4 linked regions of the Lepisosteus oculatus genome follow. The protein of the gene in region 1 purifies or fractionates together with the protein of each later gene. This does not show direct contact. Links are inferred from orthologs where the notes say so. Each region holds a gene or a part of one and is shown on either strand. Other genes may lie near its edges. The genes, in order: atp6ap2, atp6v1ab, atp6ap1a and atp6v1f.

The links.
Region 2: the proteins of atp6ap2 (region 1) and atp6v1ab purify together in Homo sapiens (co-immunoprecipitation; 3 studies listed by BioGRID and IntAct, with this or other methods). This does not show direct contact. The link is inferred for Lepisosteus oculatus from reciprocal best matches to the Homo sapiens genes ATP6AP2 and ATP6V1A.
Region 3: the proteins of atp6ap2 (region 1) and atp6ap1a purify together in Homo sapiens (affinity purification with mass spectrometry; 5 studies listed by BioGRID and IntAct, counting the BioPlex papers as one, with this or other methods). This does not show direct contact. The link is inferred for Lepisosteus oculatus from reciprocal best matches to the Homo sapiens genes ATP6AP2 and ATP6AP1.
Region 4: the proteins of atp6ap2 (region 1) and atp6v1f purify together in Homo sapiens (affinity purification with mass spectrometry; 3 studies listed by BioGRID and IntAct, counting the BioPlex papers as one, with this or other methods). This does not show direct contact. The link is inferred for Lepisosteus oculatus from reciprocal best matches to the Homo sapiens genes ATP6AP2 and ATP6V1F.

The regions. Positions count from the first base shown.
Region 1 is NC_090710.1:21,887,440-21,895,328, forward strand, and holds the start of atp6ap2 (renin receptor), read left to right. Parts: upstream 1-4,872; 5' UTR 4,873-4,905; coding exon 4,906-4,984; intron 4,985-6,815; coding exon 6,816-6,946; intron 6,947-7,668; coding exon 7,669-7,797; intron 7,798-7,889. UniProt on the Homo sapiens protein: Multifunctional protein which functions as a renin, prorenin cellular receptor and is involved in the assembly of the lysosomal proton-transporting V-type ATPase (V-ATPase) and the acidification of the endo-lysosomal system.
Region 2 is NC_090700.1:4,083,499-4,091,401, reverse strand, and holds the start of atp6v1ab (V-type proton ATPase catalytic subunit A), read right to left. Parts: upstream 3,019-7,903; 5' UTR 2,886-3,018; intron 1-2,885. Other genes in the region: naa50 (N-alpha-acetyltransferase 50), read left to right, coding at 4,103-4,110, 7,421-7,557, 7,784-7,903. UniProt on the Homo sapiens protein: Catalytic subunit of the V1 complex of vacuolar(H+)-ATPase (V-ATPase), a multisubunit enzyme composed of a peripheral complex (V1) that hydrolyzes ATP and a membrane integral complex (V0) that translocates protons.
Region 3 is NC_090697.1:67,059,045-67,066,236, reverse strand, and holds the start of atp6ap1a (V-type proton ATPase subunit S1), read left to right. Parts: upstream 1-4,178; 5' UTR 4,179-4,219; coding exon 4,220-4,338; intron 4,339-4,868; coding exon 4,869-4,995; intron 4,996-6,831; coding exon 6,832-6,906; intron 6,907-7,192. UniProt on the Homo sapiens protein: Accessory subunit of the proton-transporting vacuolar (V)-ATPase protein pump, which is required for luminal acidification of secretory vesicles.
Region 4 is NC_090702.1:45,635,450-45,642,951, reverse strand, and holds the start of atp6v1f (V-type proton ATPase subunit F), read right to left. Parts: upstream 3,014-7,502; 5' UTR 2,922-3,013; intron 2,585-2,921; exon of another isoform or gene 2,336-2,584; intron 1,165-2,335; 5' UTR 1,164-1,164; coding exon 1,006-1,163; intron 249-1,005; coding exon 47-248; 3' UTR 1-46. Other genes in the region: ankrd26 (ankyrin repeat domain-containing protein 26), read left to right, coding at 3,810-4,012. UniProt on the Homo sapiens protein: Subunit of the V1 complex of vacuolar(H+)-ATPase (V-ATPase), a multisubunit enzyme composed of a peripheral complex (V1) that hydrolyzes ATP and a membrane integral complex (V0) that translocates protons.

The sequences.
Region 1 (7,889 bases):
ATATGCCTTTGAAAGAACAAACCTGGTCAATGTGGGCAATTTCAGTCACATACTTAGACAAAGCAATAGTTGTTTTAAAATGTCCCAGGAACCAAACAACATATACAAATATTGACAGTTTTGGTCTGCAAAAATAATTGTAAGAGGGTGCCACAGTGGTTAGCGCTGATGTCTTGCAGTGCTGGCGCCCTGGGTTCAGTTCCAGACCTGGGGTTGCTGTCTGCGTGGAGTCTGCATGTTCTCCCTGGTTTCATGTTAGTTTCCTCCGGGAGCTCCAGTTGCCTCCTGCAGTCCAGAGACATGCTGGTAAATAAACTGGCTCCAAGGAAAATCAGTGTGAGTGTGTTTGTGTCTGTGGGTGCTCTGTGAGGGCCTGGCATGCTGTCCAAGGTCAATCTTGCCTTGTGCCCATTGCTTGCTGGGATAGGCTCTGGCTCTGTCACCACTATGAGCCTGCATTGGAAAACGTGGTTAGAAAATGGATGGAAGGGTGATAAAAATATGGTTTTACCAGTCTGCTGAGGCTGGAAGTCTATTTTAATTGTAATGCTTTTTTGTGGTGTTCTTGCACAGACCAAGATGACTTCCTGACCGCCATTTCTTCAGGAAAAAAAAAATATAACAGCCTCTGTTTAGATGTGGCTAAAGTAGCCAACACTTTTTTTCAGGGTTTATCTTTGGAACAATAGGATTTCTAATTTTGCAACAACTGTTGATCTGAACAAATAAATAACAGCATCAAAGCTGAATCACTGCAGTGGAAACAAACTAACACTTTAGATTTAACTGGCTATTCACTGTGAATGGTTTTGTGTGCCACAGGATTCTGGACATTCAAACTGCATGTGGCCAAATACCATGCAATTTATCTACTTTATAAAATGGACAGGCATCGTCCTGGGCATTTGCTAATTGATATTCAAAAAGCAGCTGAGACAGAGCTGTTCTACCCTTAAGCAAAGTGTTTCAACCTAATTGTGGCAGGAAGATGGCCAGATGTGTAAATGGGTGTACAGTACACGTCAGTCGCCTGGGATAAAAGCGTCAGCCAAGATGGCAGACTGAGCTGAATCTTCAAAAAAAAAAAACCCTTTCAAACTCTTCTTCAGAGCCAATACATCAAGTGAAACTTGGCTACCATCATCGACGCTTTTCCTTTCCCCAAAGAAACACACCGCAGACACAAGCCGGGAGGTGAACTGCCCTCTTTATTTAGTCTTGTGCGGGCAGTGCTTCCAGCTTCAGAGAAAATAAACGAACACACCTAGACCTTCTCTGGGCTGCGGGCTATCGCGTCTTCACGGTTGCTGTAATAGTAACAACCCGGGCATTGAGCTGCGGACCGGCACCCACACAAAGCAGGTTGTGTTTTGAAGTGTCGCCTGAGCTTCCTCCGCACTCCGCCTCGCAGCCCGGGGCACACAGCCCTCTCGCCCCCGGCGGAGCCCTGCTCCCCACGGGCTCCTCTCAGCACAGCAGCTGTCGGCCTCGTCGTCTTCTTTTGCGGCCGATCCGTCTTTCTCTCTCACTTGATTTTGATTTGTAAAAAAATACCGTGAACACACTTTCGCCGCAGACATCTCACAACGAGCACGCACGCTCACAAAACCCATACAATCTCCACCACATTGCGAAAAGTTTTTTTTTTAAAAAGCGTTAATTGCGCCTTTTCAGTCTCCGCCGGTGGATGCTGGGGCTGCATTTGCACAACAGAAGAGACCCTCCGAGCCCTGCACTTGCTGTTGTCCACTGGCTCGGAGACCGCCGGCCAGTCCTCCGCAGGAACTCAAAGGTCCAGGTTTTTCATCCTTAGTCCCTGGACACGGCCCACAGTCACTTTGTTCAAAGACACCGCTTTCACCCCCGGCGTGCCTTTCAACTCACGGCTAACCCTTCAGCCGTAGGTGCTGTACGCTCAACCCCCCCCTCTCTTGTTTACCCTGGCCCGGGACCCGTCTCTCTTTCAGTCATCTCTCCCGGGCTCATATCTATTATTGAAGACACACCTGCGGCTCGCTTCATCTTCAGCTGCAGTTACTGCTCTAATAGACAACGCCTGTCAGCCTTCCAAATAAGGGAATGGGCGTGTCAAAGGTGCAGCGCCGCAGGGGAAGGCTCCGCCCCCGGGGCCCCGCCCACTGTGGAGACTCGGTTTCAAAACCTGTTTAGTCAAAACGTCGCATTTTTCATTTTAGGGTATACACAAAATGTTGCGAGACTGTATTTTTTGTATAAATCAAGATAGTCGTCTGAACACCACCTTATTCTTAACTTTAAGCCTGCCTTTATTGAAAAATGGTCTAAGTGGTAAACACTCAAGCTTTATCCATACATAGCAGGATCTAAAATGTCAAAGCTTCTGAGAAATGTCGGTTCAGTCAAGATAGTACTATTGCAGGTTATATACCAGTACAACACCGCAGTTCATTGTTGTAAGGCCTCACTTAGTGTAATTTGTATTAAAGCACGTTTCTCACTAAACCAATCTGATTATTAGTAGGAATGAATCAAAAGTCAGTGGTTATTTTACCGAAGACACAGTATACATTCTTCACAACTAACATCATTCTAGCATCCGTCTGTGATGTAGTTCACGGGAGACAAATAATTTTTAGCCATGCTCTTTGCTACCAACATACTCTTCAAAACAGCCTTACTAATCAGTCTGCTTTACTGTTTTTTTATGTTTTAGCAGAACTTTCTTAGAGGCCATCAGAAATCTAGAACTCCAAGCAATCACTTTGTTTTAAATTTGGGCTTGAGTGTTATTGACCCAATGTCTATGGTAAGGAAAATCAAGACCTTGGCAATAATACATATTTATCATTTCCTCTATAACCTTTGCTGCAATCTTTCATCTCACTTGAATCACTCACTTTTAGTGTTTGTTATAATGGAGGCATTCATTATGTGAAGTAAGCTCTCTGGAATGGATCACAGAAAAAGTGCCACTTAATTTAAAAAAATGTCTGTGCTTAATGAAATGTTGAAGATATTGTATACTAATATCTTCCAGCATTCTAATGTAGAAGAGAAATGTACAAAGGCCAGCCCTAAAGAAAGTTTCAAGGCTAGCATCATCTCATACAAATTCTGTACAATCACCAGTGCTAGTTCCTGCAGATGTAACTCTGTGTTATCCCTGAATGTCCAACAGCTGAGATTATAGGTGAGTGTGCACGCTTGTGTGTAGCATCTACACAAACACAGGGAAAAGAAGAGCAAGAGGATTTCTGATTGAAGGTGGTTTGGTGTTAGCAAATAATGTCCATATTATGAAGTTACACTGTTCAAATGCAGAGTCTGGCTTGGAAAGATGACAGCTATCTCAACAGGGCCATTATAAAGATCTCATGTTAACACCGGTGTCCTGGCTATTTTTCCACTCTGCTTGTGCAATCTAGTCTCTCTAGATGTCACCCTTAGTCAATTGAAGAAGTCCAACCTTTTCTACTGTGGAGTGAGGTTACTGATACATAAGGGCTACCATGCATCACCCAGGTGCAGGTGGAAGCTGCACTTCAAAACTGTACGAAATGAAAGCAATTACACACACTGTATCAGTTCAAGTTCAAGCTTAATTATTCTCTTCTGGGGGAAATTTGTTTTAATGGCACAGTCCAGTGCAACAAGAAGGACAAACATTACCAACAGAGAAGGCTGTACAATAGTGTTACTGCAGATAAGTGAGACGATCTGGGTCTGTTACTTTTATAGAGATGTCTCCCACCTAGGAATAGTGTAAATTCACAATGGAGGGGGTGAAATGCACAATGCCTAAGGCTCTTGGATGTCTTTACAACCCTGTGTTTGTAGAGGACATGTCATTTGATTTAATTTGGTCCAATTATTTTTCTACTTATTTTCACTAGTCCCCCTCCATGACAGTTAACAGTACTGATGTTGCCAAACCAACAAGTGAGACAAGTATGTCAAGACACTTCCAATATATGACTTGTAAAAAAGAAAAGGGAGAAAAAATGAATACGTTTGTCTGAAGAATACCAAGGTCAAGGCTGCCTTAACATATATAAACAAGAAATCCTAAAGACTGAGAAAGAGTCTGTACTCACCGTCTGACCAGCAGGCGGTATCCTGCTTCGAAGGCCACAGAGATGGGTCGGGGTTTCAGCCCGGGCAGCCCGAATTACAGACAAACTGGCTGTAATTCTTTCTTCAAGTGAGACAAGGATTGGTACATTTCCTGTTCCTTCAGTACTCTAACAAAAAAACACATAGCTGCAATAATGCCACCGCTGAACTTTGAAATTTGCACAAAATGACAGACTATCTCGGGAAGAGTTAGATTAATTTGTCTCACTAGGCCTTGGCTAATTGATGTGACTGGGGCTCAACGTCTATACATTTTCACTTTTTTTACTCTATTCTTACCTAATGGGACCACAGCATGTGTTGTCCATCCAGGTTGAAACAGTAGTTTATTATACAGATTATTATGTATTAATTTTGTTTTAGTCAACAGTAAGTAAAAAAAAAAAGTTATTTTTTATTTAAATAATCTTCAAAAGAGAGCAATAGTTGCTTAAGGAAGTACATATTCAAGTTCGTTGTCTCTCTTATTTTGTAAACTGCCCGCACCAAAATGTTTAGTAGAGTTTTGGTTAAAAAAAATTACATTCAAAATACCGGAAAACCGAAGCATAGTTACGAATAGTCATATGATGATTTTTAAGGGTCGACGGGTATTGGTTGCGAACACTGTCAGTCACACAACGGCTCGCTCATTGGTTATTTTGACGCCATGGTCGTCCACTTGCAATTGCCGATAGGTCACTAGCAAAGCTGCCTGCAGGCTCATTTGCTGAGTCGAGGAGGGGGCGGTACTTTGTCGATCCATACCCACAACCCACCGCGGCGTTCAGCGACTGCTCCAAGAGGGGAAAGATGGTGGTTTATATGCTCGCAAGGAGGATGGCAAGATTTCTAATGGCGGTGTGCCTCGTCTTTGCTGCTTTGTCAGCTGGTAAGGATTCGAGTATTTTGCGTCGCCGGCGATTGTTCAATATTTAAGCCTAAAGTCTTAAGCAAAGCTCTATAAAAAATACTGAATCGCGTTTGTTTCATTTTTCAGTGGTAGACTGTCACACCGATGTCAGATGTTCAGCTGATCAGCTGATCCGCGGCATTTCTAGATTTTCAGTTATTTACGTGAATTACAGTAACGTATTATTAAAACTGATGAGACGTGTTTCGTATGTTACCTGCTTTGCGCTTGAAACTCGATGTTATAGAAATGTCTGCAGTCGCGGTAACAGTAATGTAACATATCTGCCTGGCTAGGTTTGATGCAACGTAACTAGTGATTGCCAGTATTGATATTATTCACAAATAAAAACACCCAGTAGGTTTATTACTATCGGATCGGTAATTTTTGATAATTGCTTCTGTAATTCGCCCGTTTTCCTTTTTAAAAAGCAGTTTCTGTAGACTGGGGGAAAGCAGAAGTGACGAGGGGGTTTGATGAGTGTTGAGAAGAGCATTCATCATCACATGACAACGCCAAATGTTTAAGCCCGGCGAGTTTGAGCAATGGTTTCCTGGATATTATTAATTATAGCAATAAGACAGGCAAATACTTTTCACTATTCCTCTGCAGAGTTAGAAGTGCAGAATGTGCTAAATTCGATATTTTTTGTCAGCTTATCTATTAGTCTAGTTAGCAAGATAAAAATGCACCACAACTGTAACATATCGAATCCCCAGTACGACGTTTTTTATTTGTCGTTATGCTGGGTTTAATAGAAGGACACTGGATTTATTTTAAATAGCTGTGTAGGCAGATTACTGAAGTACAGTATATTTTGTTTGCTGCTGCTGCTGGTTCTCAGTGGTGTTTTTATTTTGAAACCTTAGAATGACAGGATTTTTGTTGACCTTAAAACACAAGGCGGTAAAGTCCTGGTCCAGTGCGCCTCCGTGCAGGTGCGTGTCTGTTCATTGCTGTCTAATCCAGGCTTGTTCAACCTGTACGCTATCAGCAGAGCCACACATTGCAAGGCTACTCTTCAGCTGTCTGGTTCTGTTGCAAATATCATGACTGCATTAAGCCAAAACAAAAAAATAAATGTTGGATATGACTCCTTTAAAATGCTCTGATGGAGCTCTTCAGTAACTTCAATGATCTTGGGAACTGACATAAAAAAACAGCCTTTGGCATTGTAGGTCACGTACTGTAGGATTGTGGGGCACGTGTGTGAGAATTCATAGGCTGATTCATCTGAGAATGATTTGTCAGGGGCGCATTTGTAAACCCGTGTTTTAAATCTGGTTTGGCAAGAGGGAAAATTAGCACAATGTCATTAAATGAAGTGAATATAATTATTTTAAGAGAATTATGTATGACAAGCAACAACAAAATTAACAGATGGTCTTGTTATAAAGAAAGCTTTGGTACAGTTGAACAAATTGTGGTTCACACTTTAGAATAATATTTATACATGAGATGTGCTATCAATCATGAATTGACAATCTACATAAGGTAAAAGGCATCTAGATATTCACAGCACATGTGATCTGTAGCTCCCAATCCTGGTACTGGAGGAAATTTCTGATGGCCTTCATTCCAGTTTTGCTCCAAATCTCCCTTGCTAATTGCTGATTTAACTGATATGCTTGGTTTTTTAGAATTGTATTTAACTTATGTCACAGTCCTGAGTGTTACAAATACCCAACTTAACAGGTACCACTTCCAGCAATTTCAACAGATAAAACATTTAACAGTCCTCAACTTGCTTGCCATTTTTTAAAAATCTGTACGTAAGCAGACACCTAAATTCTTGTTTTATTTTTGTCAGGCGTGTTTGGGGACAGCTTCACAGTGCTGAAAGCCCCCCAGTATATCACCTTCAAGGAGGGCCAATGGCCTCTCTCTGCGGAACGGATTCCTGACCTGGCAGCTCTGACCATGGGCTTCTCTGTGGAGGAGGTACTGCCTTTCTTTTTGTTTTCCGACATTCTTGTTTCGGTTCTGTTCCTCTGAGATTTTCCCCCTTTTTTTTCTGAAAAAAACGTCTGCAAGTCTTGTAGTGAATGTCTGCCACAAAGCCTTGTTACTGTATGTACTGTAGACGTCTGCGACCCACCCAACTTCAAGTCACATGCCTTTTAACGCATCACAGGCTACACTACCCCTATCAGGGGATCTACACCAACTGCAGAAAAGGTGCATCCCTCACAGTGTCACAAACTCACAAGTGCCCGAATGGCCACAGGGGGCGCTGTGCTCACCAAGAGCTGAGAGAGCCCTGCCCAGCTACGCCCACCCTGGCCTCAGCAGCATTCACCCAATTGTGCACCGCCACTTGCTGAATTCCAGTCACAGTCACGGTGCTGTGACTTGGGTTTGAACCCGTGACACCTGGACCACACAGCTCAACCTGCTCCTTCACTCAGGAGGCCCCTGGGATTTGTCCTTTTTTGAAGAATAATAAGCTTTTCCATCCCTATTGGTATAATGAAGCATTTCCTTATTGTTCCCAATATTGGTTCCTTATCTGTTTGTGATGTTTTGTGGAAAGCTGAAAATGTAAGTAAGCAGCACCTATGACAACAGTTCTCTCTCTTACAGCCAGTGAATGTTCTTGCTAGATGCACAGGCACCTTGCTGTGTGGAGCGGTGCCGTGACGCTGTGTGTGTGTTTTGTGCAGGACCTGTCCTGGCCGGGCCTCCAGACGGGCAGTCTCTTCCAGCGTCCTCGGGCCAACGCGCTCATTGTGGTCAGGGGAGTGGGCAGCCTGCCCCTGCCCCAGAGCCTTGCCTCTTACCCGGTGGAGAATGTAAGTGCCAGTGAAAGATTATGCCATGATTTCTGCAAAGATGCTCACCAGCACAGATCCCGGAGTGAGAGACTGGTTTCCTAATCCTCTCT
Region 2 (7,903 bases), on another chromosome or scaffold:
GAGAAAAAAAAACAACGTAAACATGGAAAGAACATGCAAAACAGATTTGTTATTTTACCAACGACGTACCTGCTGCACAGAAGACCTGTGCGAGAATGAAGTGTCACGGTACCTAACACTGGTTTCCTGCTGTACTGTACCTATCCATTGTGCTACAGGGCTCCTGCTACACAGCTCTTTGCGTGAAGAGAGCTGAAATGAAAGCCACGCAGAGATTTGAAGTTGAGATTTGGCATTGCCAACGCACTGGCTGGGCTGCTGGATGGACAGCCTGCATGATTTACGCTCACCCGTGTGGAGACCGACCCCCTGATGTGGGCTCCAGCTGAACGAATAATGAACTGATCGACAGTAAGGGGCTTTGGGAAAAACGTCTCACTGCTCGGCTCTCAATGTGGCACCCTCCCCCCTCCCGGTGCAGCTGTGTGATCAGGCACGGTCACGTGACCTCCTCTGGCTCTGACTGGTCAGTATCTGTGGTTGGGCTGCACGTTCAACCACTGATAATCTGATCTGGGCAGGGGTCTGGACACAGTCTTCACTCAACTTGGCCGTTGGTACAGTATTGTTGTCTGTTTTGTTAAGCACCTCATAAGACGTTTACTTGGAGGCTTTGCCCAAGATCAGCATGTTTGCGCAGATTTTGCGGCACAAATACAATCTGGTGCAGATGAACATGTGCAGGACACCAGCCAGCAGCTTTGGACCCCTCGGGCCATCATTAGACCTAAAGGGGGACCTTTGTTTATCCAACCCAGACCTATGCACTGAATCACAAGGTAGCGATTACATGACAGTGGAACAACTGCATAGGATCATGCTATAAAAGAAAGAAACATTAAAGGAACTTCCAAAATGGAACAATGCATCAGAGTCACCTTCTCATTCACGGTTATGACTCACTTACAGACAGTTTCCACTGATCTTCCGTCAAACCCACCAAGTTCACTAACACTCCACATCAAAGCACAGTAGTGCCAAAAGTGTAAAATTAAAATCGGGATCTTTGACCCATCCCTGAAAACTGCTCATACTTCATTCACAGGAGGGTAGTAAGCACATGCTCTTGAAGCATTCCTATATAAAAAAAGGCACTGGCTCGTTGCAATGCAGGTTCTGAAATTAGGTTCGTCGTGAGACTGACTCACCGCTGTGCTCCCCTACCACAAACCCACCCAGCCGAGGTTCTGTCACTCTGGAGCTCACAGTCCCGCTGCGTCACAGCGCACGAGGCTCAATGGACACCTCCAAGCCTCTGTCCAGCTTGCCGTCAGCGATGGTGAACCATCGCCAAATGAAATGAACAGGGCAGGTGACTCAAGGGAGTATTGAGGGTCCTCAAGGGCACAGACAAAGTCAGCCCAGTCGGCCTCTTCTGAACGAGCAGTGAAACAGGAACTAGAGGCCAGTGCATTGGAGACGAAGAACAGCAGGCACTCCTGTTTGCCAAGTCAAAGAGTTTCAATGAGTTCTACTATTACAGCAAGGGTCCTACTGTGCCAACAAGAGCCCATCTGGAAAGAAAGCCAGCAGGAGTGGGGGAACCCCAAAAGCAAAGCTGGGAACCCCTGCCTTATCCTGCATCACCCGGAATGGAAGACCATACTCGGGGCACATCACCCTTACAATATCCACACCACTTTTATGTAAAACAAAATGACAAAACTGCTAGACCGATCAGATGATACAAATGGACTACAATACAATACATCATTCATAATAGATCACTCCGTTTTCTACGTCAGATCATAGAATACATTTTAGGGGAATGCAGTTCTGATACCGCCCGGCATGTGATGGACCCCCATATATCTGTTACGCAGCAACTGTACACCCAGCCCCACTCCAGACACCCCATAAAGATGCTGAGCGCCCTTCGGAAAATTTCGCCCGGTCTGCTGACTCGATCACATGACGTGTCGATCGTGTCTAATACACATTTGTTAAGACGAGCCAACCCTCCGACAGAGCGAAGGCAACTAAATGCATAGACGGGGAATGAGACGGTCACCGCTACAGTTCAGTCCCGTAAAACAGGCCGATACCTCTGAGGTCTGAATCCGTTCAACAAAATCTAGTCTAGGGTACTTCGTCTCAGCAATACCCGTCAGGATACGTTAGCTATCCTCCATCGACGTAAACACGCAACACATTCTTAACTTGAGACATCTTTCCGCATTGCAATTATTCCTATTCCTCTAAAACTGAAACCTACACGACCCCTGGCAAGCCCAGCGGTATTTACCAGCAATGCGTCCGAAAACACGTTTGCACCCACGAACAAACCTCTGTTGCGCAGTGAACTCGCATCTTGACACTTCAAAAATACGATCGGCTCTGTAATTGTGATCGCTCAGATATTAGCGTTCATCGAAAAAGCGTAATCTAAAATTATTTCATAATACGGTATATCACACCGAGTCTCCATCTGACGAGCACAACATGCTAGCCGATATGGAAGAGTGTCTGCTAATAATTCAGACGCTTACTGGACTACAGTACGGTTAGGATGTTTTAATACGACTGAAGGACCGATGTTGCATTTTGTTTTCAATTATTTTTTTCACAACTGCCGTACAGTGCAATGGTGGCCGAGGACGGTTTCGACAGCTAAAAGAAAAAAACAAAAACGAAGGCCTGTGACAGTACTGCCGCACGAAGCGTGAAATGAAAATTGTTTTAATTTATTCACATCAGAAACCCGCAGTGTTTATTTTGCACATATGGATCAGCTGTCCAGCCTGTCACTTCAGCGGCGCATAGGTCTGCTACCGACTTACAATCTGCATTTCATTGAAAATGTAATTTAAGACACGCAGCAACACAATAAAACCGGCTAAACACATACAAAACAGTGATTAAAGAGTCAAATACCGTTACGTTACCTTCGAGAAACGAAATTATTTAAAGCTTTTTCTCTCCCTCCTCCAGCAAGGAACTTGTCAGCAAAGCGAGAGATCGGGGAGTCAGCTGACTTCATTCACCGCAGGCTGAACTACCCCTTCGACAGGAGAGGAAACTGACACCATACTGGCTCAAAACTGGATGCTGGGCTGCACCGCTAAGCTAAGCCGTTTCTAGAGCCAAGATGGAGATGATTTAGGCCCAGTTTCGTCACTTCCCCTATATATTTCGCACCCTCCGTCAAATTGAAAGAAAACAGCATTATGGGATATTGGAGGAACTTTATCGAACGCGTGTTATCCAGTTTAGTTCTTGATAAAATAATTTGAATAACTAAAACACTATTATGATTCATAAAGGATGATGTACTTAGCTTTTAACTATTCAAAAATATGCGTCTCATGTAGGGAGTCATTATCTTACCAAAATATTTTTTAAAATATTAACCCGTAACCGGCGTCCCAAATTTATAATAACGTTAGTATACTCGAAAACTGTTTTTGAATAATTGCCATTGAAGATACCAACAGTAGCTGTTAATAGATAGCCTGTCAGTAAAATAACAGATTAGTTAGTTCATTAATTTCCATAATTGCGTAAAGAAATATTCAGATATATTACGGGAGGGCACGTGTGTGTATTTCTGGTCACGTGATCTATCCGATTCGCTGTTGGATTAGATATTTTCCTTCAGTTCAACTCAAATGATTTTTAACATTTAAACATACTGTCGCATTTCCTCGCAATCAATTTATTTTTTTTAAATGCGGTCGTTAAAATATTTTAATCGAAAACGGCAACGTCGGCCCGAGTCAAAGGTCACGGCCTTTGGACGTTTTTTAAAAAAACAGCCGTTAAATTCGTCGCTTAATCGAATCCCATTTTCAAAATATTTTCACGCACTGAAAACCGGTCGCAAACCGCGTCAGGGTGGCGTTGGGGGACGGGCAGGCGGTTTTGGGGTCTCCGCGGGGGAAGGCAATATTTTTATCCGGGGTAGGGGGGTGCGGAGCGAGCGGGGTCAGAGTTCAGCCGTGTGTGTGTGTGTGCGCGCGGAGGGGGAGCGAAGTTGATCCATGTGGTTCTGGCTGACAGCGGTGCTCAATCCTCACCCGAACTCAGCCCGAATCCCCCCCAAGGACGAGCCGCTGCCCTCCGCTTTGACCGCGACACCCCCGGGAAACAACTCCTGTCCACCATGAAAGGGTGAGTAGGCGCCGTCCGCCGAGACGCCTCTCTCCCCATCACGGATAAAGTTTTTTTTTTCTCCTCTTTTCTCTCTCTCTCTTTTTTTTTTTTTTCCGGAGAGGGGTGGGGGTGTTGCGATGAGCTTTGCTGTGTGCATGCTCGCCTGGTGCTGCTGTGGGAAGCAGGAATCTGCCAACGCCAGCAGAAGCGTTGTGACCGCCGGGCGCCTGGTTAGCGAGCGGCGAGTGTCGCTCCTGTTTTCTCATCCCCAAGATGGCAAAAGTAGGATCGCTGGGGTTTTGTTTCCCAATCCCCGTTTTGGTTTTCCCTCGCGAGGACCGGCCGAAAAACAAAACCGCTGTTTGTTTTAATCGGATCCCTTCTGTATTGTGTGTGTGTGTGTTTTTTAAAATGAAAATAACGTAGAAGCGTTTGCTGTTGTAAATATTAATTTTCAAGTCTCCCCCCACCCCCCTTAACTTTATAACCAGTGTTTTTTCTTCCGCCTGTGTCTTGATAGTGAAAGATCCTTAAAACAGTGTACTAAATGGGTTAACGAAGGTGTGTTTGAGCACAATTGTCCGTTGGATCCCTTCTGAAGTCACGCAGTGGGCGATATCGGACGCAGGTCGGTTAGTATTTGGGGGTGTAATAGCGCTTCGGCCGACGTCTTCGTTGTGTATCACGGTTGCGTTGGCTAAAAGGTTAAGACACGTTCCCCCGCCCCGGGGCGTCACCAGTAGATCGACTGTTATTTGTTGTAGAAAAATCAACAGGTAAAATCCGGGGGGGGGGGGGGTCCGGGCGCGTGCGGGGTCGCCCAGCCCGGGACGCCTTTTGGCGCGCGCTGCAGCAGTAGAGGAAGAAACCCCCCCCCACCCCCGCCACGAGACACCTGTCCACACCTGTCTCGTTGTTTACCCCCCCACTGCCGGGTGGGGAGCGCTTCCCTGGCCCCTGTGAAGCTTTGACCCAAAAGCTGCTTTTAAAAGGGCGGTTCGGAGGTAAACCAGCAGACAGGAGCCTTCAGTGGCCGTGTTATTGGTTGACGAGTGCATGCTGGGTGGGGGTTCGTGAACATGATTCTTCACGAAGAGAAAGCAAAACCAATTTAAGTGGGATGTTGTTGTTTCCCCCCCCCATTCGCAGTGGAGTGCAGGCGAGAAGATGTATCTGCAGGCAGACCTATCAGACACTCCATACAGCATGTCTGCAGGTGTCTGTGTCTCTCCCGATCCTGCCTGTGCGTCTGGGCTTGCTCGCTTGATTGAGGTGTTGGACTGTAACTGAAGGTCACTGAGGGGGGTTATAAATGAGAGGAGGCCCATCCTGTTCATTAACCAAAAAAACGTTGGTACATTAAGAAGTTCGCAGAGAGAGAGAGAGGAGGCCATTTGAGTGAAAAAGGCTACTTCGACGCCCCTGTACAAAGCACTTGTTTCGGACAAGCCCCGGGTTGCCCTCCGGGCGAGGCGCTGCAGCGTGGCATGCGCTGCGGGGGGCCCTGGACAGAGCGGGGTCCTGCCAGCGCCGCGTGCCGCCCTCCTGCCGCCAGCTGGTGCGGTATCTCGTGACCCGGGCAGCTGGTTTAAAAATGGAGTTCCAGCCCCGGCCGGCCCCTATAAATACACCAGGGCGCGCGCTGGGCTCGGGGCTGCCTGGGGCACAGGTCCAGCCAGGGCGGGTGGGCCCTGTGCCGAGGAGGGGGCAGCTCTCTTCCCAGCCCGTCGGCCGTGCGGTCGTCCTGTGGGGGTTCCTGATGCAGAGCTCAATAGGAGAACAAGGGCCAAGTCTGACCTGAGCTGAGCAATGGATGTCCAACTTGGTTCTCTTCGCTCGCTGCCTGAGACTTTTCTCCTCAAGTCTGCGCCCCCTGCCATCGACAGCAATGGCTGCCCCCTGCTTGCTGAAGTCTTTTTTTTTTTCTCGGAGTTACCCAGCTGTTTTTGTGTCTTGCTCCCGTGTTTCTGTTTTTCTGCACAAAGAAACGGAAGTCGACCCTCGGCACGCCCGTGGCGTGGTGAGGAACTGAGTGCGGTGTTCAGCACCGGCCCTCAGATCTCGGCCGCCAGGGAAGGAGACGGCTCAGCTGCGGTATTGTGGACGCTGCGCGGTGCCCAGGGGCATCCTGCAGCAAAGGGGCTTGAACAGTTCCTATGGAACAGGCTGAGCAACACCCTGACTCGAGGAGATCGTTGGATCAGTTTGCCTACTAACCACCAAATGGGCTGGGCCCCTCTCATTTGTGACAACTCGGCTGAGAGACTTCGCTTGCCTGGAGCCCATTCCCACTGCTCTGTGAGCTGGGGTCCGGCTCAGAACCTTCTGCCGTGCAAACAGGAAAACGAAAAAGGCAACAGTAAACGTAACTGCACGCCGTCGCTTTGAAAGAGAACGGGACTGTAGTAATAATGGCCGGGACTGGGATTTGAAGAGAGGTGATAGTTCTGAAGTGGTGCTAATTTGTGCAGTTGTGAACCCAGCGCTCACTTGCTGGACATGGTTCATAGTTTTTCTTTGCCCACATTTCCATGACCTTTGGTCCCCTCGTTGAAGAACACATCCAAGCTCGAAGACTCTGGGCTCGGTCTGGACTGAGAGGAGGCAGCTGTGCCAGTCCTGGAGAGCATGGACATTGGCGGGAGTGCGTCCAGCTCCGCGGTGTAAAAGCTGGCCTGGCTGTGGGCTCTGCTGGATAGCAGTGTGTACAGCTGCCGCCTGCCCTGGCTCTGCTCGCGGGCTGCGAGGAGCAGCTGGGAGGTGTTGGCGAGCTGGGCAGCTCTTTCAGTGCTCTTTGAGCTCATGTGCTCGTGGCTCACCCGTGCAAGACAGCACCCAGGTGTATCAACGTTTCAGTCCTTTTGTCAGGTCTGCGGATACGTTTGCACGGACAGACGCGTGCTGTTAGTGTCATTTGAAAATATTTGCATTTCTGCTTCATCGGTGCGGTTTGTTCTTTTGTACTGGTTTAGCCTGCAAAGAATCAAACTGCTGTGCAGGCAGAGTCTTCATTTTCCCTCTTTGCTCTGCCCCCTGCCCATGCTGCTATTCCATACAAGAGCACCACAGAACGCACGGCCACACCTGGAGTTTCCGATCCTGCCTGTGCGTCAGTGAGATGCATTGTGACGGGAAAATTCTTTACAGCATTAAATAGTTTGTTCGTTGATCACAAAGTTAGTCAGTTAATGTCTGCGCAGCGCAGGAAATGCATTGGAAATGGGTCTTCCTGCCGATCCTGGGAAGGGGTTTTCACCACGGCAGTGGTGCTCAGCTGGTGTCCACTGTGGGCACGCCACAGCCGTTGACCAGTCTGGTTCTGTTCCAGTAGCCGGATCGAGCTGGGAGACGTGACGCCACACAACATTAAGCAGCTGAAGCGGCTGAACCAGGTGATCTTCCCAGTCAGCTACAACGACAAGTTCTACAAGGACGTGCTGGAGGTGGGGGAGCTGGCCAAGCTAGGTGAGTGGAGCTGGGGGTGTCCTCGATTCTGTGGGGAGTGCGAGGGGGGGGGGTGATTAAGGGCCGCGCAAGGGCAGCGAGACGTGGGCCGGGGAGGCGAGCGTGCGCGAGGAGGGTGGGGGTGGCGTGTCTGCGCAGGGCCTGCAGGTGCAGGTGCGGGTGCGGTCCGTAGGGGGCGCTGGTGCTCATGGGCGAGAGCTCACTCTCGCTCTCCGCTGTGTTTCAGCGTACTTCAATGACATCGCAGTGGGAGCAGTGTGCTGCCGGGTGGATCACTCTCAGAACCAGAAGAGGCTCTACATCATGACCTTGGGCTGCCTGGCGCCCTATCGCAGGCTGGGGATAG
Region 3 (7,192 bases), on another chromosome or scaffold:
ACCATTGATCTGTGGTTTGCTGAGCCAAGTGAACATTCTGAAAGTGAAAATATCTATCCTTTTATTTAAAAAAATAAAATCATCAATAGGTCTGTATTGAATGGTTTCTCTTGTCCAGCTGTGTGGTTTTTAGGGATGTGTTTTGTCTAAAAAAGATATTTGATTTCTGAAGTAATCTTTGCTGATTGATTTTAAAATAGGCCTTGGCATTGACATTACATTTAAATATCAATGTCAAGTTAAATGGCATTGAGAATAAAAGTTAAAATATTATTTTAAGGAAGACATGGCTACCTCCTTTCTTTGTTGACCGTAAACCTGATATCTTCACTGAAGGCTTTACAGTGTCAGCTTGTTCAGTATTTGTGTCCTGTAGGACCAGAAGATACTGTTGGTATCTGCTGTTTTATCTTTCAATGCACAGCTTGGTCATATCTATAAAAAATATAACTTATTCAAGAAATAAAATACTGGACTTGTTTATGAATAAGAGTACAATTAACTATACCTATATATATCTGCATATCTATACGTTTATTATACAGTTGGAATGCATCCTGTTTGGATGCTTCTGACATCGTCTTGATTAATTTTTGGAAGGTGATTTCCCTAGAGCACATCAAACAGAGTGACATGTTGGTCTAGCAGACAGAGCAATAGAGACTTTTGCAGAAGGAGTTTAACAAGATATGCCAGAAGGTATAAATGAAACCGCTGTAAAAGACATGTTCCATATTTGAATGTGGCATTTCACTGTTAGTTGTACATATTTGCTCATTATGAAGTTCTAACATATCACACTGGTAAATGCTTGTGAATATGACCATGGTTTGGGCAATGGACTTATTTGCAATGGGTAGAATAACCTGTGCAGGACTTTAATGGATGCACAGCACTGTCCATGAAATATTTATACTTTCACCCAGCCTGGCCTCTACTGCACCGATAATCAGCAGTCACCTTGCAGCTACACTGATGGGAGGTTTCAGTTTGGATGTAGTTTTGCCTTAACTAAACTTTCCAAACTTTTGTTAACAGTTGTTGACCAATTTGTAGTTCTTTTGTGTTTCTTTTTTCCTATTGATACTAAGATTTTCAGTCAACACCCACAATGGAATTTTGGGCCCCCAAAGCAAACAGTTTCTGAAGGTTATTACAATATTTACAATAAAATACATGGCAGTTCGATACGTGTTCATGTTATATAAAATATAGATGAGGTGGGTGGCATGATGGTGCAATGGTTAGCATTGCTGCCTTGCAGTACTGGAGCTCAGGTCCTACCTTTGCAGAGTTTGTAAGTCCCCCCCCTGTGTTTGCATGGATTTCCTCCAGGTAGTCCAGTTTCCTCCCACTGTCCAAAAATATAGATCTAGTTTTATTGACTTCTGGGAATATCGTCCCTGGTGTGTGAGAGTGTGTGAGAGTGTGAGACATGGGATGGACTGATGTCCCATCCAAGGCATACCCTACCTGAGGCTTCAGATCCTCCATGAACCTTAATTGGATTAAGAGATTAAAAAATTGATAGATTACTATAGAGATAGGAACACCTATAATAATGTTTCTGTTATTTAGAAATCTGAGATTCTTGGAATGTTTGCCAGAAGAAACAACAGAATGCTTAACATTATATACAGATTTGAGCCGCACCAACTGCCTGAATAATTCATTGTAACAGTGCTCAGCACACTGAGCTAGTTGCAGAAGTAACGTCATCACCCTCTGAAATCTAGACAGTGTAGTCTCAGTCTTCTGACCTGTCTGAGTTATTCACTGTTTAGAGAGAGGTGCCATGCATGCTCAGAGCCTGCAAGTAACCGGGATTGAATCCTGGCAGGGACAGGGAGAGATGCACTTGTTACTTAACATCTTAATGGCTGCCAGTTTGGGAATCCAGTTTAAGGTATGTTTAGTTGTTAAAGTGTTGTTTCTGGGTACAAATGGCACTCCATACTGTACCGAGCAATAGAGGACTGATGTAATTCTAGGCAGAGATGAATTTCTAACCAAAAAATTTAAAAGACTTGAACAGGAAACTGGAACAGATGAGGTGCCCTAAATATAAATACTAGATCCTAATCAACTAATTTAAAAGTTTTATGAAAATGGAATTTACAGTTGAGAGTACTCAATACACAATAGGATGTGCCACGAGACAAAACTAGAGATATGAACATGAACTGAGGTAGTCCATCGTTACGGATTTAATCATTTTGTATTTTGATAAGACTTTTGATGTTTTGTCCCCTATCTTTTATAAAGCTGTTTTAATTATGTCCTAAACTGTAGCCCAAAAGGCTTGGCAGCTGATGTTAATCTTTTGTACTTGTATTTGAGGTTTTCTCATGTATAAGATAATGTTAAGCTAACTAGTAGCTGCAATGTCACAGTTATTTTTAATTGTATTTTCCTTTTAATTTTGTATATGAAGTATTTTTATAACAGTGATTAAATTTAACTTGGAACTGATTGAACTGGATTATATGGATATAATATAACTAAAGAAGAAAAAGATCTTGTACTGCCTTATTGGAATCAGTTCAGAAAGTTTGTTTCATTCTGTTCCTAGTTCAAGTTAATAAAATATGGGCTTTTACATCTGTGTCATTTATGTTGGAGTTACTGAATTCTTATGGAGCTTGTTCTACTGTATAACACTGGACATGTTATTGATGTCTCTTGTTGTGTAAAAATATACTTCTTGTGAACTATTATCATTTATCATGTTCTTAAAAACTATTGACATGCTTTGACAGTTCTCTGTTGTAGCACGGAGAAAAATATTTTTCTAATATACAATTGTAATGTCATTTCATGGCAAACCTCAGTATGCTGTATTTCTATCTTTGAATCTTGGCCCTTATACAGCGTAAGTAGAGCACTCTTTCTTCTCTTTTTTTCTTAACTCTTGGACTTGGAATGTATTGTTTCAAGAATTAATTTGAGCCTTTAACAGTATTCTGGGGTGACCTTCCTTTTCCTAACCTGTATTCCTCTCTTCCCAACATGGCACCTGTAATATTTGCCCCATTCCTTCATAGCCAGCTTTTCTAAAATTATCCCTGTTTTTTAATTGTCAGCAGTCAACAAAATCTAACATATTCAGGTTACAATTTCCCACTGGTTCTCTCTTACAGAGAGCTCTATAAGTACGTACAGTAAGGGTACTTTAACAACCTGGGTTAAGAAGCCTAGTCTGGCAAGTAACAGGCGCAAGGCAGGACACCAGGAGAGTGCACAAGTCAATCGCACTTAACCATTTCAATGTTATCAATTTCTGCTTCTGTATTCCCTATCTCAGTAGGTGTGGAACATTAAAATCTCACAGTAATAGAACATTCGAGTTCTTATATTTCAAGCCTCAACTCGGTAACCACTAGCCCACACTTTCTTCCTTTCTCCACGTTCCTGAGCTGCATACACTGGCCAGCTCTCTTCCTGGCTCTCGGCTCTAAACTGTGGCTCAAACTGACGGCCCCTTTCTCAGTTCCTCAGCTCTAACCACTAGCCTCCCCTGCATCCCTCCCTTTCTCCCACTATTCCCAAACTAGTCCACACTGCCTGCCTGCCTCCTGGTCCTTTTCATTGTTAATGCAGGCCAAATCTGGAAGGAATCTTTGATCGATTTCTCTGCTGGAAGCCCAAACTTCCTGCTTCTCTTTAAATTTCTCCTGTTCTACTACTAACCCACAGCACTTCTCTTTCAAGCCCCACACTAGGCCTTTTCTCCAGTGCCTCCTACCTAATCGCCAACTCACACTGCTTTCCACCCCTCTCTGTGTTTTATTTCTCATAAATACTAAGCTTAATTCTTCTTTAATGTACTGTTAACTTTTTATTTTAGGACTATATTTCACAGTAAGCTGAAATGAACAGTATTAAAAAAAATAGTTAAGGTCTGAATACAAGTGCACAGCGAGCTGTTAATTCTTTTGACTTAAAAATAATTCTAAAGAGCTACACACGAGGAGATGAATCTTGTTTCATTTAAAAACACAGTCATGTTTGGCATACACGTAACAGCAGTGCTTCCACTCATCCGAAAAGCACAACCTGCAGCGCTGTGCCGCTGACATTAAGTCTCACCAACCGTGTTTATGTGCGAGAGGCTTTTCCACCAATGACAGGACTCGGGGGGCGGTCTCATGGGTCGTGTGTCTCACATGACTGTCAGCCGGTGAGGAAGACGTCATTGCCTCCGCTGCGAAAACACAAGATGGCCGACATGAGGATGCAGAGGCGATCTGGGGTGGTGTTATTTTTTGGTTTGTTCGCTGTTTTCTGCTTGGGCAGTTGTAGCGACCAGGTTCCTGTAGTAATATGGTCCAGTCAAGGGTAAGGACTCATTTTATTATTTGGCGAAAGTGTATTTTCGGAAGCGCAGACGGTAACCAGCTGTCCATTTGTGTATCGTGAAATGCAGTGAAATTTGACAGTAGTTTGTACGTAATATCACTCAAACTGTCTTAATTAGACAGGCATTCCTTTATTCCACTTTTAAGATATTTGAAGGTAGAAATAGGTCCACGTTATTTAAGGTTATGTTTGAAAATTGATCATACAAAGTTGTGTGATGCAACCAAGGCAAAGATATAGAATCTTTTAACATAAGGTGACATTTGTCTCTTTTTATGTCTTTACAGTTTAACTAATAGAGGAGTGAATTCCAGTTAAATGACTTTTCAAGCACTAATGTATACAAAGTTTGCATTTGGTCTGATATGAGACATCCCACAATGCATGGTTAACATGATATTTTTTATGGGTTTTATAGCATTTACTAGCTGGCTAATGTAAACCTTACTGGGTTGTTCTGTGCTTTCTTTATTGCTGATTTCGAAAATGATGCCGATCTTTGCTTGCAGGTCGGTGCTGCAGTCCCAGACTGCTCCAGTAGCTGGTCACATTGTGTCCAGCTCTCAGCTTGTCTCCTACTTGAGCTCTGCTCTCACCAGTAGCCCCCATAATGTGCTGCTGTTTCTGCAAGACAAGGTGAGGTAAAGGAATCAGTGTGGTGATAGCATTAGCACTCAGTTAAGTTAAAGTCTGTAGAGGTAGTGAAACAGTTACATGTATGTATGCCACAGAAGTGCCCTTTCCTTCAATATGGCAGTAAGAATCAGCCAAAGAACATTTAGGTTTGTTGTTAAGGTTGTTCTGGAAGAAGATGTGACCTGCTGAACTAAAAGCAGCATCAATTGAACAGTCGTAGAACCACATTCAGACATATGTATATGCTTCCATCTTTAAATTTGTGGTACATTGCTACTACACTCCATAGCATAGGGAGGCATTTATTAATTTTCACCAAAAGACTAGAGAAGCCTTCTGTAATAGATTGCACACAGTGGTCTATTAAAGCAATATTTTGTGGTGTGTTTCTAATTGGATCTGACATTTTGGGGAGATATGCATGATCCTACTAGTAGGGTTGGGCTTCTTAATTAATAAATTAATTGGCACATATAAATTAAATGGTTTTCATGAAAAAAGTGTTATTTAGCTAGGTCTTCTGAGCTTTGAAAGACTTTGAAAACAGGAATTTGACTATGGTCCACATGACCTTGCTGATTTCTTCACCATGGTGTGACTGATCATCCAGGAGGAACTGGCTCACTCCACACACATCTCATAGCCACTCTTTCATTTCCTCTCTCTTTAGTTTTAAAGGTATAGTTACAGCTCTCTGCAAACTCTGCTAGTAGTACTAACCAGTTTCTACCAGATCAAACAAATTACAGCTGGGTAAAACTTCTGTAAAAAAAGATCAGTGTCTATTACCAAAACTCTTGTTTCTTTCTGTTGCTAATCATAACATATTACTCTTGCTTGTTCATGTTTACGTTAGTGTTGATTATACTGAGTAAAAAACATTACAAAGTAAAAAAATTGCAACACCTTGCTTTTGTCTTGTATTTCAAGTCCTGGGTCAATAGCCTCCTGTGTCAGTTGCATTTATCTGGCTTGCCTTGCTAAGTAACTGTTCCAGTTTCTTAAAGGGATAGAGTGGAAATAATGGATCAGGAGGGAGTACTCACCCTGTGGTCTGTGTAGGTCCCAATGCCCCAGCATAGTGGTGGGGACACAGTGCTGTTAAAAACGGCACTGTCTTTTTGATGAGACATAAAACCGAGGTCCTGACTCTCTTTGGTCATTAAGAAAATCCTAACGCATATCCTGAAAAGAGTGAAAAGAGGTGTACTGGGCCTATTACCTGCCCTTTACCAATCATGGTCTCTTAATAATCCCAGTTTATCAATTGACTTTATTACTCTGTTCTCCTCCCCACTGATAGTTGATGTGTGCTGGCTGTATTGGCGCACTTTAGCTGCCATTGTATCATCCACATGAGTTCTACACTTCGGTGGTGGTGGAGGGGAGTCACGATTGTCTGTAAAGCGCTTTATGTGGAATGTCCAGAAAAGTGCTATAATAGTGTAAAGAATTATTATTATGTACATGTATATGTTTGCACTGAGTATCTATTAATTAAACAAAGTATTATAAGTAGCACTTTGTAGGATGAATGAGTGTTTGCTTACACTTAAAAGTATCGTTAAACAACTACAGTTTATCAAACTGTGTATGATACAATGCATAAATGGCTAAATATTCACTTGTCAGAAGTAAGGTCCCAGGAATTGTATCTGCAATTACGTTATTGTACATCCTAGTTTAGCAAAGGTGATCCAGTTTTGGAGGTGGAGCTGAAATTGCCCTGGAGATGAAAATATCCATCAGTGGGGATGAAACTGGAGTTTTCCAAGATAGGGGTTCTTTCAGCACTATACAGGCTCATTGGAAATAACTGTAATTTTTGGTTTTCAGCTCAGTGTAGATGACTTCACCATGCATGGAGGTGTTTTTGGAAATAAACAAGACAATGCCTTTCCCAATCTGGAAGTAAGTGTTTGGGTGCTTACTTCTGGGAGTACGTGCTTACATGCTCATATTCTTCTTTGTCACGTGGTAAATCCAAGGTGGAAATAGCCGAGATATGCAGCAAAATGATTCACTGGTAAAACTGCACGTTCACAGAGGCCTAACTTAGATTTGAACCAGTGATCTATGGATTATAGGTTTCAAAATGTAATTCTCTTTCTCTGTCATCAACCTTTCCTATGTTGTCAAGCAAATTGGTAATCTTAGCCGAATTCAACTTTATTTCTGCCATGGAAAATAAAGGGGA
Region 4 (7,502 bases), on another chromosome or scaffold:
CAAGCTATAATCTGCTTCAGGACATCCTCTGCCTCTTCGGGGAGGTTTACCGGAAGTCCTCTGCGCTGAACATGCCTTTGGCCCTGCGCAAAATGGAGTCCTTGGAAGCATCATAGGGATGTTCCTTAGATGGGATCTCAAGCACAGCTGGGATGGACTGCATGTGAGCATCAATAGCGTGCCGGATCATTTCTGCAATGAACTGGTTGATCAGAATGATCCCAATGTCATCTCGAGCCAAGAAACTCCTAGAAAAAGATGAAAAAAAGAGGGGTTACTCAGGGGGATACAATCTTGAAAAACACGAGCACATTCTGTGCCTCACTCTGTATGCAGAATATATGACTGCAATGATTAATCATGAGGAACACATGCAAATTGCATACAAATTATCACAGAAACAACATGCCATCAACCTCCAGCCTACTGCCTCACACACAGCAGTGGCGATCTGACACAGAAGCACGTGAAGGCTTGCGTGCCCGCTGCGTTTTTTAAATAAGGAAAAAAGGAGGAACTGAGGATGTGTCATTATTCCAGATGTATTAGAATAAAAACGGTTCACTAGCATTTTTATACTGCAAACATAACGCTCTGCAAAAGTTTAAGCTCAACTTAAAATGTATTTAGACCGTAATGCTTGACACTTGCAGGTCTCAGGTATTTAACTTGGAACATAACATTAACGATACCGTTATTGCTCTGCAGATGTACTCTTTTCAAGCAGACTTACTTTTAAGTCTTCTACTAACTAACAGAGATGTCATTTCTATTTTAAATTTGACCTTGTGCAACTGGATTTTCGAGCATGTCTTTAGCGATATGGAAGAAAGAAGGCTATCATCAAAACCAAGAAAATAATCATTTCCCCCATGCTGATCTTACAGTCATGGCCAGTGTTTTAAATTATTAACCACACTTATTGCAACACAATATTTTGAATTATATATTCTCTAAATATATATGTCTCGTCGGCATTGTTAAATCAGGCCAGCTCAAACTCACTTGAAGGTCTCTTCGATCTCGGTGATGCTTGTGTCCTTTTCGACCACCAGAAAATTGGGTTTACGGTTCTTATTCAGCTCTCCAACGCCTCCGAGCAGGAATCCGGTGCAGGTGTCTTCATCTCCGATCACCGCGATCAGCTTGCCTCGTCCTGCCATGCTGGACAAAAAACGTATGCCTGACTATTTCACAGAGGAGTCTGACAATACTTTCTTCGGTTATACTCTCTTCAGGATAAACGAAACACCTGAAAAATCTCAAGTTAACGACGCCTGATCAGCTGACCGCGCCGTACTTCCTTTTTCCTGACAAGTCACGGGATAATTACGTCATCAGACTCAGCGACGCTAACGACCATCGATACCTGGAACACTAGATAAAATCCAGTCATGGAGATGTTTCCATTGTCCTTTCTCTGGCGTTGGAGAGAGCTTTGCTAACGGAAAAAGTATTAAGAAGGACCTCTAATTCGTGTATTAAATATAGACCTAGGCTTATTTTACAAAGTGTTAGAACCATTTTAAATGACTAAAATCATCTTGTGGGTGAGTTTTGTCAGCATTGCCCAATGTTAGAGCGCTGACGTAAGCGAATTTACAGTATGTGTGAACTAAGACATTACGGAAAAAAACTTTGGATTAATTGCCAAATGCAATATTCGTTAAAATATTGAAATACTGGGTTTGCTGTGTCACTCATAACCCCTCCCCCCATACACACACACTGCAGTGGTGGGAATAAAAGGGTCTGAGTTCAAACAGCTCAGATGGGAGAGTATAGTACAGTTTCACCATTACTGCACACAGTTGTTTTATACATTTTCAAGATTTTGCATTATATTACTGCGTCATTATATTGAAAATGTAATAAAAAAACTAAACTGAATTTGATCGAAGGTCAACAGTGTGCCCCAGCAACTAAGACGATACATCTACGGTACCCATCTTAAAAGGGTAACGTAGCTGGACTTGGAGATCTGGCAGTGCTCACCGACATTCTCTAAAAACAAAGGATTTTGAAATATGTATGCTACGAGCTAAAAGACCGATTGGGCGTTTAAGTGAAAAGGGTCACACTTTGGTGGGGGGTGACAGAATGCAGTTATTTTTTAGATTTCTTCTACTTGTTGTTTTTATTTTTATTATTAATGAAAGTGTAATATGATCTGCTCCGTCTCCCAAACCCAAGCATTGCAAACTACCAGTTGCTCAGAGAAGACTGAACCCTTAGTAGGGATGCTGTTTCAACCACACTTGCACGTAGTGGGCGGGTCTTCTCTATGCCACAGGACTATAGCCTGTGAACTATTGGATAACGGGCGAGTGCTCACCGATCCCACGCACTGGATTGGATGCGATCACCGCCGGTCACACAGTTATGTTACTATGTCCCCACGCAACGTGCAATGCCAGTTGGTCACTATGAGAAAAGTGAAGTAATGGATTTGGGAAAGATTTGTATTGATTAGGTTTGTTATATATTGCTTTTTTTTTCAAAAGACATATGAAGAGCATGTATTTTTGACGCTATGAGAATGATTTTTTTTATATTCACACGAATGATCAGAGTTAACGGCAAGGTATATAAATCTAGATTTTTCTAATAAAAAAGATCCTATTTTTAATTCTCCATGTTGTTTTTTAGTTTGCTGTGTGGTTAAATAGTTACGCAACAACTATATTTGTATTCATTTTTGCAAAGACTATGGTTGACATTTTGAAAATGGGAAACTTTCAAGATCTTTGCAATGATAGAATGACCCGATTGGAAAGTACTGATTTTCAGTGTTTGTATTTGGTGTCATACCTTGGCATATTCCGCTCAAAATTGAGACTTCTGCCACGTTTTTGCAATTCGTTGTCTGTGAATCCGAAAGAAGAAATTTACGTACAGTAGTGGAAGAATGGTGATCTTACCTCGTACAGACGAGTATAATTTGCTGTTTTTTCACCAAGTCAGGTTACACTCGTATAACGTCGTGACTTCTTTAGACGCTGAATCTCACCTGACACCTTGGATACAAATTCAAATGTCGCGGTTGTAGATGACGATGAATTATTCAGACTCGGAGCACCAACACTGCCAGTGGAGACAAGACCTGTCGTAGCCGATTCCCAGTCTAGTTTGATCAATGATATGTTCGTATGATATTGTGGCGGTCGGTTATACGAACCGAGAAAACCCGTTTCGTTGTTTTTGTAATGCCAGGCTGTTAAACCCCCCATCCTGTTCTGTTTTTAGATGCACGGCGTGGTTGCCTTGGTTACAGACTCTGTAAATTGAGCTCCTGCCCTTGCTGCTGCTGTTGGTGGTACACGAATTGTGCAGCTATGGGAGTATGGTGTAAATTAACTACTGATAACGACTAAACTCCAAATGAGGCAATTGCTGTCTTTTTTACACTGTCGACCATTTTTCACCGAAACCCCGATTTGATAAGGTAAGGAAAATTATTATCCTTGCATGTTATGCCCTGAAATTGTATTTATGTACAGTATGTGGTCTTAGGGATACAGGACACAGTGATCGCAAACATGCTATCATAATCAGACATCCTAATTGCTCAGGGCATATTTACTGTATGTATTTTATTAAAATAAAATAGAATAAATAAATCGCCGTGTTATTTCTCATTCTGCTAGACTCATGAGTTTGACATCATTATCCTTATCCGATTTACTGGTTTATTTTTGGAATGGAAAAGACGCCCAAGGTGAATCTTCTTTTGCACCTGAGTGAACAACGCCTGGACACTGCAGGGCGATGAAGTCGTGCATCCCTTGTCCGACTCGAAACAGTTCACGATGAAGAAGATATTTAGCTTTGCGAAGAAGAAAAAGGGGTTTTCTCCCAATTCGTCTGACACGGGGAGTGTGCTGTCTGCTGGATATGAGCTAAAGGAAAAAGATCTAGGAAAGCTACACAAGGCTGCTTCTACAGGGGATCTGACCAAGCTCAAACAACTTGTAAAGAAACATGATTTCAATCAGCTGGATAAAGAAAACAGGTAAGTTTAATTTTCTCTCTAGACAGCTTTCCTGAGAAAACAGCACTCTGAAACAGTTTGTTTGTATCGTGTAATGAAACATTGCTAACAAATTCAATATGTGTTAGGTATTGTGTTGTCCCGTATCAAGACCTGTTATCCTGTATTTCTGTTGATTTATAAATCCAGTTTTCTTTCACATTTAGGGGAATATGTCAAATTAATTCCTGTCTCCAGAAATGTCTATAAAATGGGATGTACACTAACCTGCACATGATTTACAATGGTTGCAATCATCCGAACAAGCTAGATGAGCCCAAGGTCTTAAGTCCTACCTCTCTTGTTCCTGTGCAGCTTTTAGTTCATGTTCTTTCTGGTGTAATTGTTAGACACTTGTAAATGCTATTAACTGTTGTCTGTCTTTTGGTCTGTTTTTAATTGGTGGAGGTAAGCTGCAGAGTTTTTGATAGCACTGTAAAATGGTAGTTTATTATTTCTGTTGCAGTGTGGATTACAGGGCAAAGGCCTGCTTGCTATTTCAAAATTACATTTAATTGGAGTGGCAAATATTTCACATTTAATCTTTGTAATATCACATTTTGTTTATTATTTTAAAAAATGAATTGATTAATTTTTTCAATTGTAACGCTACATAAAGACATTTTGTTATTTAAAATATGCATTTAATAACATTTTTAACTTGGGTCACATTTGTTTTGCAAATATGCCAGAACTAGTCCAATTTCTAGTTTTAGGCTGAGCATTAATTTGATATACAGTATAGTGTACTTGCCATAGCAACTAAGCTACAGCAAATATTTCTAAACATAATAAGTGATCCGATACGATCTTTAAAAGGATAACCACTAAACATCAAATGTCATCCTCCACTTATTTTACTTGCAATTTGCATCAGCATCCTCTGGAACATTTGTAGATAAATTTATTCTAATGGAAAACTAATGTTCTTCAAAGATACATGTGAAGAAGGTTTTAGAACATTCATGTGAATTCAAATGAACGTTAATGGGCCAATTGGTACTTAAATATTTTTCTAATAAATGTAAAAACCTACGCGGATCCCATGCAGTTTTGAGTATGCTACAGGTTCCACTTTGTACATCTTTAGAAATTGCTCTGTAGCTGGTGTACAGATCCAGTCCTAGAGAACCAGAAGGTTTTTGGTCATTTGCTTTCTATTTTAGGCCTGAATCGCCTCATTGAATTTACCTAATTAGCCAAGTTGCAGACTTACCTTATTCCTAAAGAAGCTGGAGTTTTAAGGATTCCTATAAAACCCACTGGACAATGTCCAGAGTTGGATTACCCTATGTAACTAGGTGTCACAGTTGTTGGACAGGAGATGGGAGTAGCATCCTTGTGTGGACTGGTAGTTAGTTCCCTGTTATCAGCTGTACTATAGTACTTGTATCCTGTGCCATCCTGACAAAACGTCTGGAAACCCTTCCATTTTATTTTCTCATTTTTAAAAAAATAAACCTGTAAATAAGGGATCCCACTTGAGTTGATTGTCAGCGTGCGCCAGTTACACAGACCACCGCCAGTGAAACTACCAGTGCCTGGTGGGACCTACAGAATGTCACAACTTGCAGGCATCTTAGTGACTTGCAATGTAGACACACCCCAGGAAGTCACTGAGTGGGGTTCTGGGAAGTGTAGTTCTCTTAGGCAATGCAGTGTTTCTGAGCTTTGCTAGCCAGCTTCGGTACCCTGCTTTCCATGGTTTGTGTTAACTTCTCCAGCTTGGGAAGCATCCTATGCTAGCAGCTATTACCTGCTACAGCAAAGCGTTAGGACAGGATTGCACCAATATTATTTCCTTTTGAAGACTTTCCTTTGTTTTGTCATTAAACTGTTATTAACTTTACTGTAATAGAAAAAATGGCTAGAGTCCATGTTGTATCTTATGTCTTACCTTTTCAGTTCATGGCTGATTTTGATTGCAACCTCACTGTTAACATTTTAGCACACAGTCTTCATTGTTGCTGAGGTTCTGAAGAATGCAGTGGGAATAAGGGAGGGAAAGAAAAAAAAACCCTAAATAGCTGAGAGAATTTATTCAGCTGATTACTATGCCATACATTCTAATAATTAGAATGCTTCAGTTTGTCACATATGATCATTTTCTCAGTCAGGTGTGTTGATTAATGTTGATAAATTCAGGTATAAAACTATAGTCTTTTCTAACAGCAGTTTTTTGAAGGCCTGGTGAATTTACATTTTCTGCATTATAACTATTTAATTTTTATTAAAATTGTTGACATTTTAGTGCACCTCATATTCCCATGTCTGTTTTAAAATATCTAACTTGGGTTCTTAACTGTTTTTGCTGCCATTAATATCAAGGTGTGCATTTATTCTTTATTGATATGATGTCTATCCAACGGTACTGTTTTTAACTGGTCCTACTCATATCTGACTGGCAGACAGCATTTTGTTTTCTTGGTCCTCATAAATCTTCTATGGCCCCAGTCAATCATGGTGTGCCACAGGGTTCGGTCTTGGGCCCATTGCTTTTTATAATTTATATGAGTTCTCTTGATCAGATTATATGCAAACATGGTCTTCTGTTTCGTTGTTACGCAGATGATACTCAGATTTACATTAAAACATCTGCCCCTCTGATCTCCAGCCTTTGTCATGTTACTCTTGTCTGTGTGACATCAAGCTCTAGTTGACATCAAATTCTTAATGCTAAATAGTTACAAAATCTACATTTTACTAGTGCGTAGCAAAAAACTGGAAAGCTTCACAATAAATGTTGATGGCTTCCTCATTCCGACACCAGTCATAGTCAGGAATCTTGGAGTCACACCTTCTATTTTTTGAGCCACACTTCACAAAATGTATGAAGATCTCTTTTTTCACCTAAAAATATAGCGAGCATTAGGCAATTTTTATGAATGTTGGATGCTAAGTGCTTGATTAATGCATTTATGACATCAGGGTTTGATTTCTGTAACTCTTTGCCCTGTGTGCTCCCTAACACTTTTCTTAGTATGTTACAATGTATCCAGAACTCCACAGCTACACTTCTGACTCACACCAGACCCTGGCAACATATCTCTCCTACATTCAGATCTCTACTTTGGTTGCCTATAAAGTCATATATTCAATAAAACATCTTGTTACTGACTTTTAAGCCTCTAAGTAATCTGTTCCATCATTCTCTGAACTCCTGCATGTTTACACTGCCTCCCATTGGCTCTGTTCAGTTGAGACTGGTCCTTTGCTCACTGAACCTAGGACTGAATCTCAGACTTTCGGTGACTGTATTTTATTTTTAGCTTTTTATTGTATATTTTTTATCACTATGTACAGCGTTCATGGGTTTACAGAGGTGATTTATAAATCATTTTTATATGTATAACAGCTGCAAATGACCAGATTACAGTCAATCCTCCGTTTAAATGATTTCACTTTAATAGACTTTGGAGTTAATAGACCCAATCTGCTAAATGTGAATTTTGAGGTTCTATATTTCTGAAGT